Tamandua tetradactyla: one gene and its partner. The protein of the gene in region 2 purifies or fractionates together with the protein of the main gene of each other region. This does not show direct contact. Links are inferred from orthologs where the notes say so. Each region holds a gene or a part of one and is shown on either strand. Other genes may lie near its edges.

Region 1 (7,922 bases), on a different chromosome or scaffold from region 2:
AGAAAAAAGCTTATACATATCATACCCCTTACCCCTCCCTCTCATTGATTGCTAGTATTCCCATCTACCCAATATATTTTAGCCTTTGTTTCCCCTATTTTTTTCCTATACCTCTTATCACTCTCTTTCCCTGATCACTAGCATTTCAATCTACTAAATTTATTTTAACAGTTGTTCCCCCATTATATATTTATTTTTAATCCCTATGTTTTACTCATCTGTCCATAAGGTAGATAAAAGATCAGACACAAGGTTTTAACAATCACACAGTCACATTGTGAAAGCTAAAATCATTATATAATCATCTTCAAGAAACATGGCTACTGGAACACAGCTCTACATTTTCAGGCACTTCCCTCCAGCCTCTCCATTACACCTTAACTAACAAGGTGATATCTATATAATGCATAAGAATAACCTCCAGGACAACCTCTCAACTCTGTTTGAAATCTCTCAGCCATTGACACTTTATTTTGTCTTATTTCTCTCTTCCCCCTTTTGGTCTAGAAGGTTTTCTCAATCCCTTGGTGCTGAGTAGCAGCTCATTCTAGGATTTCTGTCCCACGTTGCCAGGAAGGTTTACACCCCTGGGATGTATGTCCCACGTAGAGAGGGGGATACATTACTATCTTTTAATATGGTAGCTTTCATGTCAAGCGCACCACTGCCTTTCTGTACCAGTGGTACTTCAGATATGTAGCAATACAGATCTCATAAACCCTTTGTCCATAACCTTTTGTCCAAAGTCAAATTTAGATCAAATTCATCCACAAGCCAAAAAAGCATAAAGCTTGAAAGAGGTTGTGGTGGTTTGAAGCCTAATGTATTCCAGAAAAATATATTCTTAAATTTAATCCATTCCTGTGGATGTAAACCCACTGTAAGTAAGACTTTTTGATGAGGTTACTTCAGTTAAGGTGTGACCCACCTCATTCAGGATGGATCTTAATCCTATTGCTGTAGTCTTTTATATAAGAATGAAATGCAGACCAAGATAGAGAAAGCCACAGAAGTAAGAAATTGACATCAACAAAACTAGGAAGAGAAGGGAAAGACCAGTAGAACTACCATGTGCCTTGCCATGTGGCAGAGAAGCCAAGGATCTCTGCAGCCAGTCTTCGCAAAGAAAGCATTTCCTTGATGATACCTTGATTTGGACATTTTGGTGGCCTCAAACTGTAAGCTAATAAATTCCCATTGTAAGCCAACTCATTTCATGGTATTTGCTTGAGCAGTATAGGAAACTAAAACAGGGATGAAGAACAAGCTTAGAAGGTGGTGAGGAAATTGGGTGATGGGTGGTGGAGGGAAATATTGGTGGCAAAGCCTGTGTTTGAACTTTAAAGATCAGAAATTGTCGGGTCACACACATTACTTTTTTGGTTGCATGGAGAAGAAGAGGGAGACGTGTGGAAGTAGTTTGTTTAGGTGTACAGGGGAGTATAAGACAAGAGATAGAAGAAGGAGAAATACCTTCCCTACATAAGTCCAGAAATTCCAGTCATCCATCATCCTTTCCCAAGTCCAAGTCCAGTCAATTTTACCCCAGAAATGACTCTTCAGTCTGGTCCCTCTTCTCCCCTCCCATTGTAAGACTTCATCATCTCCCTTGACTAATTTACATACAGCTAAACTCCTTTACCTTGTCCCAGTCTTGCCCCATTACCTCCACCTTCCACATTGCCCAGATCTGTCTTCCTAAAGAAATTTCATCATGCCATACCCTTGCTTTAAAAAGCCGCAACTCATTAAATTGTTCTAAGAAATGATCATGGTGATGAATATACAACTGTGATGATATTGTGAGCCATTGATTGCACACCAAGTATGGAATGTTTATATGTTAAGAATGTTCGTGTTTGTATGTTGTTTGGTTTTCTCAATAAAAGTTAAAAAAAAGAAAAGAAAAAAGCCACCACTGGTGTCCTGAAAGAACAGCTTTAGCCTCATTCCTTTGCTGGCTATACAAAATCCTCCACAGCCTGTTCCCGTGCTCCTCTCCAACCCCATCTCTCCTGCCCTCTACCCCACAAACACTTCAAAACAGGAAGTATCTTTTGTCCTCCCCCCTTCCTTTTGGAATACCTTTTCCCAGCTTCTGCCCATCCTTCAAGATTGTCCTCAAATGTCCCCTCCTCTGGACAGCCCACTCAACCCCTCCCAAGAACACTTTGTCTTCTGAGTCATACCTCTATTATAGTATTCTTGGTCTCTTAATACCTATTTATGTCTCCCTCGACCCTTCGGAAGGCAGGGACCATGTTAATTCATTAATTCACGTCTGTGTCCCTATCGCCTAGCGTAAGGACTGGCACAAAATAGGATGGATGGAAAGGAGGGTGGATCCAGGGTGGATGGAGGAGAAATTAGGAAAAAGAATTCTGCGAAGAGCAAAGATAGACACCAGGGGGAGCTGAGGCACCACAATAAAGCAGGATGAAGGGCCGAATAAGGCTGCTCACTCTGGGGTGAGCCGGTGAGCAGCGCGCAGAAAAGGAAATATCACGCAACTGCAATCGCTCACCCACGTGTGAATCCCCCTCATCCTCCTTCCCAGAATGTGCTTAGGCTCATCCCACCGCCCCCACCGCCCCCAACGCCCCCAACGCCTCCACCGCCACAGAGAAAGCAAACAAAGGGGAGGTGACCCCTGCAAGGTCCTGCATGCCGGAAGCCAATCAGAGTCCTCCATTCTCCTGGAAGGCGGGAACCTTTGATTAAGAGAACCCAATTAGCTTCTAAGGGAATGTAGCGGGGCGGGGAAATGGGCAGGAAGAGCCGCGGTAGGAACCGCGCACGCCGGGAGAGCTTCTTCGCGGGGCTGGAGGGCGGAGAGGGTGAGGGCGGAGAGGGTGAGGGCGGAGCCAATCACCGCGTGTTTGGGAGGGAAGGGCGGGCAGCGCCGCGGCGCGCGCGATCCGGGTTGACGCATCTGGCCCCGGTTCCCCAGGATCCGAGGGCGGGGGCGGGGAGGGCGGACCGGGAGGAGGGAGAGGAGAAAGAGCGGAGGACGCGCGTGCGCACTGGCGCGGGGAGGAGTAGGGACCTGGCTGCGGGCGAAGAGGCTGCGAGCGAGCGGCGAACCCGGCGGGGCGTCTGACGGCGGGCGCGCGCACCATGGGGGAGAAACCCGGGACCAGGTAGGGAGGTGGGGCCACGCCGCAGGGCATGGGCGGCGGCTCGCGGCTGGTGCTGGGATGGTCCCCAGACAAGGACACAGGGGAGAGAATCCGGGGGGCCGGACTCCTGGGTCCCTAGGGGGCAGCCATCCAGGGCCGCACACCTAGGTCCTCGCGGATAATGGGGGCGCATGCCCGGGCCCCTTTAGGAAGCGAGGGCTGAAGGGGACCAGGAAACCGGCGTCTGGGTTCTTGTAGGGATGTGGGGGCCGGACGCCTGGGTTCTCCGTGCAGGCTGCGATGCAAGGGCGGGGTAAGAGCAGGTGGCCCCAAAGGGATGTGTATGGAGTGGCTGGACGTCGGGATAGGAAGCCCCAAAACTAATGTCGAGCCAGTGGAAAGCCTCCCGTCCAGTATCCCATAAGCAGTTGTACTGCCCCCATCTGTCCCGAGGACTGGGTCGCTCCGCTTCCAAACTTCTGCCTTCCCCCAGGTTGCTAACAGTAACACCTTCATCTTGGGGAAAGAGAGTTCATGGCGACCCTCCCCGATTCTGGGCCCAACTCCTCCCACACTCTGGGTATCGGGCGGGGGTGGGAGAGGGTAGTATCTGCCCTGGGCATAACATCTACTCCCCGGATGTTTTCGGTGCAATCGAGGCTCCTTCCTTCCACTGACACCCCGAGTTCTCTTTTTTGGCTTCTAGCAAAATGCACTTCCTGTTGTGACCCAACACCCCTAAGGGGGAAAGGGGTAGATGCTTAGTCCCTGGGAAGCAGGAGCAAAGAGTAAAAGGTTGCAACCTTATGCCTCAACTCAGAGGGGATCAGGACCTGGTCCTGAGCTATCACTTCTGCAAAATGTTATATCAGCCCCAGCACGCCCCACCCAGGGAGTATGAGAACCCCAGTTTCTAAGCGCCAAGTCGCCCAGTATTGGAGAGGGAGGACTGGAGGACACCCCAGAGAAAGCGGAAGTCCCTGACTTGAAGGAGGCCCCCAATTTCCGTTGTGTAGTTCAGGGAGGGGGATAGATGGACTAAAGTAGGACTGCTGACTTGGCAGTTTCCCCCACCCCCATCAAATTCTAGGCCACACGAAGTGGAGAGAATGGCAGGAAGTGTGAGGGGGCATCTCTTGCCCCACCCCCACCCTCACTGAGCACCTCCCTGGTCACCCCCTCACCCCACCTCCTTGGCTAACCTCAGTTTACACACATGGTTTCTACCTAGCATGGCAGGAGGTAGCTGGATTAAGATCCAAATGGCAATTGCCCCAGAGCCACACTTCACTTGGCCAATTGACTGTGGCTGTTACAACCCTCTGCCAGGGTTCCTAATAGGAGGAAACATTGAGACAAAGAGGGAACTCAGAGGTAACTGAGGTCAAAGAGGTGGGAAAGCCTAGATGATACCATTGCAATCAGTTCCCAAGTCGGGGCAAGAAGTGGGATGCTTTATTCTCCTTGATTGATTAAGGGTACCAGGAGGCATCTGTACCCTTTACCTTATGGCCTTGGGACAGCTTGGCCTTCTGGGGAAGAAGGGGCAAATGATGTTACAACAGAAATTGGGGCAGTGGGAATGGAAAGGGATGGGCCAACTGGCAGGATTTCAGTTTCTACTCTCTGGAGGCTCTTTCCAGGGATCACTGGTAAAGGTGAGTGGATTGGGAGGAGTAAGGTGGTGCAGCAAAGAACAGGCCCACAAGTGACCAGAGCACTGGAGTCCCTAGACACTTCCCTACCTTCCCAGCAGGGGATGGAGTCAAGGCTCAGATTGCTTCAGCAACAGGAAAGCAAATCTCCTCCAATCCAACAAACTGTTGCTACCACTTACAGAAGCAGGAGAGTACAGTAGTTTGATTAAGAGCATCGACTCACAGCCAGACTATCTCTGTTTGTATCTGAGTTCCACCATTTACACTCTGAGACACCTTAGACAAAAAAAACACTAGGCCTATGTCTCGGGTTCCTCACCTGTAAAACGGGGATATTGGGACCTCCCTCACTGGCTTGTTAAGGGTATTAAATGAGATAACACACATGAAACCCTCGAACAGTACAAGCATGGAGCAGTCACCCCATGGGTATCATCTGGTAGCACCATCTTCACCACATTGTGTGGGGGGCGGGGGCGGGGGTACACTGAGTAAGGCCTTGATGAGCACAGTCTGTCTAAGGAGATAGTCGGATGACACAGCTGGCTACCGTTGGTGTGCCATCACTCCACAGTTCAGACATAAACAAGGTATAACAGAAACCCCAAAAGAAGTGATCTGGGGTCTGGGCTGGGTCTCCTTCCCAAAATTGGCATCTGAGCTGGATCTTGAAAGATGAATTGGCTTTTAAGGTGTTGAGATCAGAGATGGGGATCGCTGGAGGTTATTGGAGTTGGTCAGACTTGGGTAGTTCCTGTGATAGAAACCATTTTAGGGGTGAAAGCTAAAGCCATTGATCTTCCAAGTACTCCAGCTGTCTCTGAGGTTGGGACCTCTGTCCCTTCGCTAAGCAGGCATGGACCAGAGCAGATGGAAGATGGTTAGGCCATACACAGACACTGCTGCTACCTGCCCATCCAGGTCTCCTCTTTAGGTCCTCTGGGGTAGTTCCTGTGGCAACCAGAAGCCATTACCATTAGGGGAGGGAGGCTAGTGAGGGTGGGCCAAGGATAAAAGGGGGATTTGCCATGACAACCAGCTGCAAGTGGCTGCTGTGTTAGAAATATTAAGAAGCTCTGGTTGCCTTTCCTTCTGGGAAGAAGTGGGAGGGGGAAGGACTGGGCAAAGCCTCAAAGCATCCAGACAGGAATCCTGGGTAAGAGCTGCTTCTGGCTGGGGAGGTTTGAGGTCCTGGTGTGGGCAGGGGTCCCTGCTGAGTCTAAGGGAGGCAGTGGGGTTTCCCTTTCTGTTTTGTTAGGGTCTTCAAGAAGTCGAGCCCTAACTGCAAGGTGAGTCTCCCACAGCGTTTATCCCCTTAACACTCCCCAGGCCCTAACAAAGCCCAGCCTGCCCCTAGATGGTCCCCAACCCCTAGCTCCCCACTTCCTGTGACAGCTAAGAGCCAACTTCCTTCCCTCCTGAAGCCCCTTGCCACAGAGGCTGCTCAGCCTGAGCTTGCTGCAGGGGTGGGTGGGGAGAGGCCTGAGTCTCTAAGCAAGGCCAAAGGGGATGGGCCCAGAAGCCCCGTGCCTGCAGCCCTCTTAGGAGCCAACCCCGATACCTGGGGCTGGGAAAAGTTAACAGCTCCCAGGCTATGGTCTGTTTATCTCAGAGCCCCTTGAGGGGAGTGATTGAGGCCCATAGCTGCTCCTTAGGGCTGAGGCCTCCCCAAGGACCCAAACACACACCTGACTGGTGAGCAGAGGATTGAAAAGAGGATAGGGAACAGCTGAAAAGCCTAAAGAATGGGCAGTCTAGGAAACCTCACCACCCAGCCCTTCCAGCGCCGCTGGGAGTTAAAGAGGAGAAATTCCTTCCTAATATCCGAGCCAGGGAAGACCCAGGTCAGGGCAGTCACTTGAGGATTCTGAGACCCCGTCACCCTCCTACCCAACCTCCCCTATGACCCCTCTACACCTTTAGCTCACCGTGTACTTGGGCAAACGGGACTTTGTAGATCACCTGGACAAAGTGGATCCTGTAGGTAAGTTTTCCCAGAAAGTGACAGCTCCTTCCCCAGGAAGGGATGAAGTTCCTGGGCCCAGAAATGGGGGAGAGGCCCTGACAAGAAATGAACCCATGTGTCACTTCCTTAGATGGCGTGGTGCTGGTGGACCCTGACTACCTGAAGGACCGTAAAGGTACTGACCCCAAGTCCGAGGGCCCAAAGGGAGGTAGGAAGGCGGGGAGGTGAGATGGGCTGGCCTTGAGAGGGTGCCCCAGAGAGATGGAGGGCTGAGGTGGGAGTGAGGAGTAGGATTCAGGCAGAGGTTATGCTTTGAGGAAGGAGCAGCTGCTGCTAGGTCCAAGGGGAACTGGGGAAGGAGGCTCCTGACCACCCCACCTTGCCCTCCCTTACCAGTGTTTGTGACCCTCACCTGCGCCTTCCGCTATGGCCGTGAAGACCTGGATGTGCTGGGCTTGTCCTTCCGCAAAGACCTGTTCATCGCCACCTACCAGGCCTTCCCCCCGATGCCCAACCCACCCCGGCCCCCTACCCGCCTGCAGGAGCGGCTGCTGAGGAAGCTGGGACAGCATGCTCACCCCTTTTTTTTCACAGTGAGGATACCCCCACTTTCTGCAGGGCAAGCGATCTGGGACTTGTTTGGAGGGTGGGGCACCTGTCATGGGCAGTTCTGGATGAACAGTGAGGCAGGGACCCCAGGTCCACCTCCCTTCAAGGTCCCTGTACTCAGAAAGCCCTTGCCTTGTTGCCTCCTCCCTGGGTCCCCTTCCTTCTTCCTCTCTTATCTCCAGGAGGCCTTTATCCAGCCTCTTGAATTGAGATTGGGAGGAAGATTTGGGGACTTTCTGGAAGGACTGAAGCCTCCCCTTCCCTCTGCCACAGATACCCCAGAATCTGCCTTGCTCCGTCACACTGCAGCCAGGACCTGAGGACACAGGAAAGGTGAGAGAGGAACAGCTTTGGGGGTAGTAGGGCAGGGCATAGCTCGGCAGGAGCCTGGGAGCACACCTGAGAGGGAGGTGGCCCATGGGGAAACCAGGAGTAGGGAAGTATCCTGAGTGCAGGTTGGGTGTATGGTACAGTCACTGCCCACCTGTGACACTGCCCCCTGCTTTCTTGATCTGCATGTACCTGGAAACAGGCTCACCTTGCACTGCCAGGAACAAGCCTCTGCTAGGT
Region 2 (7,922 bases):
GAATGAATTTTAATTATTCATGTGTAATGCCTACTTTTTAAACAATGCATGCTAAATTTAAGTTTCTTTTTATGATTCTAATATATTTCTTTTATTGTTAATGTCCAAGAACATCTTAAACTGGAACATTTTACTTAAAAATTAAGCTGAACTTCAGTTAAACAAAACATCATGTGACTAACTCTCCTAAGTAAAAAAAAAAGTTTATTTTCCTTTTATAAAACTGACTCGCTGAATTAAACTAAAAAATAAATATGGGAAATACATAGGGAATAAATACAGGAATAAAAGGACTAAGTTTCTGTTAGGATAGCTTCTGACTAATTTTCAGCTCTTAATAATTTCAGCTCCTTAATAATTATTTACCAATGACAGGATGCTTAACGGAATATTTTACAATTAGAGAATAATAGAAGAAATCTACCTTTCCTTCAAGAACAAGTCTCTCTACCAAACAGCTTGATTGTTTGAGACAAAACATCCAGACATTCACAACTCTTATTAGCCATCTTCTTTTTATTTATTACTGACATCAAATAGCCTGAGTCACGAACGAACCACATTTACAGGCGACACGTGGCCCAATCGCTATTTTTAAAAGTCCACGTATTTCCAACTCCTTTCTTGCCAACTGCTTCCCACTTTGAGGACCTGGTCTCTGCAGCATTTATTCATCAGACGGGAGTCCTGAGGCAGACCCGCCTCGGGGAAACCTCTCCTCGGCACATTTAAGGAAACCACAGAGGAGACTTGGGATTGGTGCTGGTATCTGGTCACTTACGTAGCACACGAAGCAAGAGGGACGTGCCCGGGAGGACCCGAGGCAGGTGCGGGTAGGTTTCCGCAGTGGCCACTGATCCCGGGTGTGTGCGGCGCGTTCATCGAGCTCCACCCGAGCCAAGAGACGCGTCCGGTCCCGGGCCGGGCCCCCCGTGCCTCCAACCTCGGGGAGGGGGAGGTCCTCGGGCACGCCCCCTAGTCTCGGGGTCCCCGCGACCCAGCACCGCGCGCGCACCCCGGCCGCTCCCCGCAGCCGCCCACGTGGTGGAGCCCTGAGCAGCTCCAGGCCGTGGGCAGCGCGCGGGGCTGGGAGGCCCGGCCCCAATGTCCCAGCCGGCCGGCCCCAGGCGGGCCCCAAGCCCGGGCCCCCACATTTCCTCCCCCGGAGGGAAGGAGGCGACACTCTGCGGGCCAGCCCTCCCCAGCGCCCCCTGGCGGCCGCCGCGGCGATGCGCACTAGGCTCGCGGGGCCGCCAGTCTGGGCCCCTCCTTCCCAGACTCGCGGCGGGCGGTGGGCGGCTGGCGCCGCTCTCCCCTCGCCCCCCGGGGCCGCGCCCTCCGTCCAGCAGCCCAGGCGAAGCCTGGACCTCGGGGCTCCCCAGCCACGATGTCGCGAAGGCCCACGGAATTGCGTGAATGTGCCCGCCGTAGTGGCCTGGAGGGGTCCCCTTTCTCCCAGGTGTGCCCCCTCCCGCCACGTTCGGGCTTTCCAGCACGCTGCGAAAAAATGCCGCATGCACACACTTATTTATTTATTTTGCAACAGCTGCAAGAAACAATGAAGCTTTTCAAGAACCAGGGAAACGCGCTCTCCAGCCGCGCTGTTGTTTTCAATGAACCTCTCGGGGCCCCGCGATCCCCGCCCACCCCGCCCCCTCCCATCCTCCCCACACCCCTCCACCCAGCCGGGGCCGGGGCCGGCGCCGGGGGCATTGTTTTTGGAATCCTGCGGGAGGGGAGGGCAGGGCGCGTGCGGGCTGGCCGGCGCAGTGCGGGTGGGGGTGAGGGCGTGCGCGCGCGCGCGTGTTTGTGTGTGTGTGAATGTGTGCGCGCGTGTGCCGGCGCGGGCGAGGGGCGGGGACGGCGATTCGCAAACCTCGAGCCCCAACGCCCCGGCTCCGCTCCGCACGTCCCCGGGATCCCGGGCTCCGGCTCTTGGCGCGCGCCGGCCTGGGCCGGGCCCTCCGCGCGCCGCGGCTGCGGCGGTGGCCGCTCTAGGGTGCGCGCGGGCGCGCGGCCCCGGGAGCGCGCGCGCGCGCGAGCCCCCAGTGTGTGGCAGCGGCGGCGGCAGCAGCGCGGCGAGGCTGAGGTTCTTGTTTACCAGCATTAACTCCGCTGAGCGGAAAAAAAAAGAAAGGAAAAAAAAAGAAAAGAAAAAAAAAAAAAGAAGGGGGGGAAAAAAAACCTAACAAAAACAAAAACCCGAGGAGGAGCGGAGGAGCGGAGGAGCGAGCGCACCAGGCGAACTCGAGAGAGGCGAGCGAGCGAGCGGGAGGGAAGCTGCCAGCGAGCCTGCCCCCGGCGCGCCCGCGGCCCGCGCTCGCAGACCCTCTGCCCCGCTCCCGGCCCCCCTCCCGCGCCCTCCACGCCCCTCCCTCGCGAGGGGGAGCGCCCCGGCCGCGCCGCGCGCCTCGGCTTTGACCTTCAGCGAGCGGAGCCCCCCGCGCGGAGCGCCGCGGCGGGCGGGGGCGCGGGCGGGGGCCGGCGCGGCGGGAGTGCAGAGCGCGGCGCGGCCGGCCCGCCGCTTTGTGTGTGTCCTGGATTTAGGAAGGAGCCTGTGGCGGCAGCGGCGGCGCTGAGGGAGGCGGCGGCGGCGGCGAGCGGAGCTCTGAGGAGGAGGAGAGGAGGAGGAGGAGAGGAGGAGGAGGAGAGAAGGAGGAGGAGGAGGAGGGGGCAGCCTCTCATTCATTTCGACTCCTCATTTTTGCCCCTCTCGGGCCTCTCCCGCGACCCGGACTTCGGGGGAAGATTGCGAACTGCGTGGCGCCCTCCCGCCGCGGCGGCTCGGGCGTCGGGAAGCCTCTCCCTGTGTTTGGGGTCGGGTTTGTTTTTCCTCGCCAAGACTGATTTGGGCTCTGCCCCCCCCCCCCCCTTCCTGCAGTTTTTTTTTTTTCTCCCCCCCCCCCCCACTCCTGCCTCTCCGGGTTTGAAAATGGAGGCCGACGATGCTGATAGCCCGCCCCGGCGCTCCTCGGCTTCCCGACTCCGCCGAGCCCTGGGCCGCGGCTGCCGGCGCTGAGGGGTCCCCGAGCCCCGCGCCCGTCCGCGCAGCCCGCGCGAAACTCCCGGCCGGCGCCTCCCTTCGATTATTGTTTCCCTCGCCCTTGTTTTTTGAAAGGGGGGGGGGTGCGAAGACTTGAGTTTGAGACTTGCTTGTTTCTTTTCCTCTCACCACCACCACCACCCCCCTTTTCTTTTCTTTCTTTTTTTTTTTTTTTGAGAAAGGGGAATTTCGTCCCAAATAAAAGGAATGAAGTCTGGCTCCGGAGGAGGGTCCCCGACCTCGCTGTGGGGGCTCCTGTTTCTCTCCGCCGCGCTCTCGCTCTGGCCGACGAGTGGAGAAAGTGAGTATGGGCCCCGCCGCCCGCGGCCACTGCGGGAACTTTTCCTCCGAGGGGCTGCGCCCTGTTGGCGAAACCCGAGTTGCCGCCGTCGCAGCTGTCTGGCCTCGGGCTCGGGAGTGGCCGGGCGGGCTGCGGAGGGCCGAGGGGTCTCGGCCCGGGTGGCCGGAGCGGAGCCTGGGGGTCCCGGCTTCGCGCATCCCGACTCGGGAAGGGCCTCGGGGGCTTTCTCTTTCGCCGTCCGGAGAGCAGGGCCCCGCGACCCCGGCTGGTCCGCGGCGCTCACTTCGGGGCTGCCCGGCCGGGGAAAGTTGGCGGCGAGGCAGGTCTCGTCCCCATCGGTTCGCCCCCCCCGCCCCCCGCCCCCTATGGGGTCCGCCGCCCGTCCCTCGTCGCTCCCCGGCGCGCGGGGCCACCCGCACGCAGCGCTGGTCCCGGCGCGGCGCACAGATGGCGGTGACAGCTACCGCGGCCGCCCGGTGCCCTCGCCGCTGGGGCCAGACGCGGTACCCAGAGGCGGGGAGTCGCCCGGCTCGCGGGGGGCAAGTTGTTCTCGATGGGGAGGTGGCCCGTGGGGAGGTCCCGCAGCTCAAGGACACGTTTCCAAACATCCCGGGGTGGCGCGGCGCGGCCTCCTGTCGCCCAACGTGCTTCACCCCTGGGGAGCTTTTGATTCCACAAATAGTTCCCTGGTCGCGTGAGCTCTTTAGGTTCCTGACCTTTCTTGGCACCCCGCGGCCGGTTACCTGGCGGGAACTATCTGCCCCCGGCGTCCCCGGGTTGCCCTGTGCGCCTCGAGGGTAGCGGAGAGTTCCCGCTGCGCTCCCCGACTCAGCCCCTGGGAAAATGTGGGTTCGGGGCTCCTCATAAGCCAGGCCCTTTGGGGGGGGACGCGCCTGTGCCCCAGTTCAGAGGATTCTGGGACCTACTCCCCGTTTCTCCCCGGCTCTGGCGGCTTTTTTCTCTTCCTCTCGGGGGGGTGGTGGGGAAGACGGGTCGTGGTGGTGGAGGGGACGAGGACCGCGTCCGAGAGCGCGTTAGTGCGTTGTGTGGTCGGAGTCGACGTGTATTTCCACACACGTGCTCGCAACCCCGAGGTGTGGCCGCCGCCACACGGCCGCGCGGGGACACCTAGACGCCTGCCCTGGCAAGAGGTGTCGTGCGCTGTCGTTTAAGGCGCGCCAGGATCCGTGGGGGTGGGGTGGGGTGTTTTGCGAGCGCAGAGCCCAGGCGTCGGTTGTGTTGTGGACAGAGCAGTGCTGCCCCCCCCCCCCCAAACTCGCCCAGCACTGCCTTTGTACGTCGTTAATAAGCAGTATCGCTCCACACTCGCTATCGCTTGCAATCTGATAGCTTTTGTTTGGTGGTGTCGGGTAGGGGTAGAGGAGCGCGCGGAGGGAGGGTGCGAGAACTTCGGCTCCCACCTTGTGTGGAGGGAGGCGAGGGAGGGGGATTTAGTTTAGTTATCTGAAAAAATTCAAGTGTGCTTTACTGGTGAGCTCGGGGTGGTAGGATGGAAAGGTAGTTTGAACACGATTAAAAAGTTGAAATGTAGTCCCAGAACTGGGGCAGGGAACGGTGAGGGCGTTGCTGGTGAGTAATGTTTGCCGAGGGTATGCAGGTGGTGCCAATTAACTTTGAAAAATCACGACTGAGCCTTGAAGAGTGAGGGGGAAAAGCGGGAGGCTGTGGGGGTTGTCTGGCCTCGTCACGGGGCAATTCAGAAAGGCTGTTTCTATAAACAAATGCTTCTTAAAGACGCCTTGTCCATGATGGAATAGGAGAAAAGCTTTACAGAATTAGCATGTTTACCACATTGAGTTGCTGGAAGACGCGGAATGGGCCGGGACCTTCCACAGATTGGGTTCTCCTGTTCTTTGTTTTCCAAACTTTGAGCACACTGAGAAAGGGCTTTCTTTCCCTTCTGCTAAGGAGCTCAGATGGGGTTTGGGGGACAGTGGAGGGTTTCTAGCTTTTAAAAGCTAAATATAGTTTAGAAGACACAGGAGAGCTAATCCATTTTACTGTAGCATGCCACTGAATTCCGTATAGTTCCTCTAGTTTTATTTTTTTTTAATGTTAGTAACTTCTGAAAATTCAAAATAGCGGTGATGGCCTTGATTCTCTGGTGAAAGAGTCGGGCATTTTAAAATAGGATGTGTTGTTTGGAGCGTTGCTGAAAAATATTCTTTGTGAAAGGCGGTTCTTTCTTGAGAAAACTGGAGAGAAAGGAAGAAATATTTTTACTTAATGCATGTTTATACTCCGGTGATACCAAAGCTCTTCTCACAGATCTCTTCAATGTGCTTGGTTCACTAAAGACCGAAGGATGACCAGAAGATACCCCAAATCCCCATTATGGTTTGTCGAAGTTCTGACTCGGTATCTGCCCCTCCCTACTTCTCTGAAGTTTTGAGGATTAGATGCTGTGCTCATGGTGCACGCACATTCAGTTCTTAGTCGGGAAGGTGCTAGGACTGTTAAATCTGATAGAAATAAGCTACCGAATCCTATCAGATACTAGCATTGTTTTGGCTGTTGTCTGTGTTGTCTAGTATAGTCATAAAGAGTTGGGTGTTTTTGGAGCTGGGTTGCAGATATTGTGCTGGCTTATTTAGGGAGTAGCGTCTCATCTTTGAATGTGATGGCAATAGGATGGAGTTTTTGTATTTTTTTTTCCTTAGAAAATTTAGAAGTTTTTGAAGCCGGTGAAGCCATATGGGCATGTTTGTGTGTTTTGTATCAATAGAATGCAGATGGAGCATCTAAATAAGGGAGGTTTGGGGTTTGGAAGTTATGAGTAATAGCCAAATAATCTGATGGCTGTATTTATTTATTTTTAAATCAACATGCACTTTAAACATATTGTGGCCGTTTCATTAAAAGGATTAAAAGGATACAGTCATCTTTCTGCCCCAGCACTGTAATACCCTATTGTCGTAGGTGTGTGAAATGTTGGCGTTCAAAGAAGTTAGTGTTTTACGCCCAGAAGGAAAACCCAGAATAAGAACTTTGGAAAGAACCTAAATAGCAAATTATAGTTTAGACTCTGTAGAGGGAGATAGCAAGTAAACAATATTTTGGGGATTGTTGGGGTATAGATCAGGAATCAGAGTTTAAAAGGTCATATGTTTGATTTGTCAAAAGTATGAGAAATGTCTAACCTTAAGAAATCTGTTAAGGTGGAATGGATGAATCTTGAAAACGTTATGGTACATGAAACAAGTAAGTCGCAAAAGACCACCTATTGTATGATTGCATTAGTATGAAATGTCCAGAATAAGCATATCTTTAGACACAGAAAGGATTTGGTGGTTTCAAGGCCTGAAGGAGAGAATGGTGAGTGACTGCTAATAGATACAAGGTTTCTTTTTGGTGAGATAAAGTGTCCTGGTTAGACCATACTGATGGCTGAGCAGCTCTGGATGTAGTAACATCTATTAAGGATTAAAATTATTAAGGTGCCCCCCCCCTTTTTTTCATTTCTGGAGTTTGTCATGCCCCAGAATTCTAGTAAAACACCAAACTGATAACTGAAGCTATGGCAGCAGGATTCCATACCATAGGAAAAATGAACAAGCAGGAAAAAAGAATCTTGGTTATATGTGGCTGGAGTTAAGGATTGAGGGGTTGGATTTAAAAACACAAATGCTGGTAAAAGTCAGATTTGTTACAGAGAAGTGCTCAATTAAATCGGCTATGGTATAGGTCTTTTCAGGATAGTTTGGGTTTAGGAGCTGAGCCTGGATGGCTGTTTGCATTTCTAGTTTTGTTATGCATGTTTTCCAACAACAGCAACAAAATAAAAATAATGTAGTGTTTTGAGATGGTAAATAATTTCCACTCTTTTTTTGATGTACCATATTCACTACCACTTGTGGTTAAGATTGAGGATGAACTGTAAATTTTAATGCAGTGTGATTTTTTTTCTTATTTACCTCTTAAATAGCTCTAGAATCTGAGCAGGAAAAGGAATCTTTGTAGGATACAGTAGTTATTTCAAGCATACAGTGATTTTTTTTTTTGGAAATTAAAATTACAGAACAAAAATACTTTAAAATATGGCTGCTTTGTTTTTTCAACTGTGGTGCCTTTTTCCAGATTTACCTTGGCCCTTAATAGGAAAAGACATAGAGAATAATTGCTGTTTACATTTGTGTTTGGTTTTTGTCTAAGGCTTAGTTTGCTAATGAAAATGTTTCCTGTCCTTCCTATTGTTGCAAGATCAGGGCGGTAATGAAAATCAACTGTATCATTTTCACTTGTTGCCTTAGAGTTTTGCCAAGGAGAGCCCTGGGGGACAGTAGTTTCCTTTTTAATATGGTTTCTTTTGTTTTGTAAGACTGTGTCTTATGAAGCAACTGAATCCAGCCAGCAAATAATGGGCACCTACTGTATGAAAGCTGTGCTCTTTGTTAGGCAGTGCGTAAGCCTACAAAGAAAGAGGGCTGTGCTTTGCCGTTTTATATACTGCCCCATGAAACAAAGTTGTTTGAAACTTCAGATCTTTTTCAGACCTGGTATAGGATACACAGTTTTCAAATATCCAGGGAGCACCATGGCATATTATAAACAATTCTC

The links. Proteins that work in one complex are often made in the same cells at the same time.
Region 1: the proteins of IGF1R (region 2) and ARRB2 purify together in Homo sapiens (affinity purification with western blotting; 4 studies listed by BioGRID). This does not show direct contact. The link is inferred for Tamandua tetradactyla from reciprocal best matches to the Homo sapiens genes IGF1R and ARRB2.

Annotation. Positions count from the first base shown.
Region 1 is NC_135332.1:60,671,667-60,679,588, reverse strand, and holds the start of ARRB2 (beta-arrestin-2), read left to right. Parts: upstream 1-3,106; 5' UTR 3,107-3,117; coding exon of another isoform or gene 3,118-3,140; intron 3,141-3,377; 5' UTR 3,378-3,379; coding exon 3,380-3,432; intron 3,433-6,035; coding exon 6,036-6,066; intron 6,067-6,700; coding exon 6,701-6,761; intron 6,762-6,873; coding exon 6,874-6,918; intron 6,919-7,139; coding exon 7,140-7,336; intron 7,337-7,625; coding exon 7,626-7,685; intron 7,686-7,890; exon of another isoform or gene 7,891-7,922. UniProt on the Homo sapiens protein: Functions in regulating agonist-mediated G-protein coupled receptor (GPCR) signaling by mediating both receptor desensitization and resensitization processes.
Region 2 is NC_135338.1:85,577,531-85,585,452, forward strand, and holds the start of IGF1R (insulin-like growth factor 1 receptor), read left to right. Parts: upstream 1-3,052; 5' UTR 3,053-3,250; coding exon 3,251-3,344; intron 3,345-7,922. UniProt on the Homo sapiens protein: Receptor tyrosine kinase which mediates actions of insulin-like growth factor 1 (IGF1). Binds IGF1 with high affinity and IGF2 and insulin (INS) with a lower affinity. The activated IGF1R is involved in cell growth and survival control.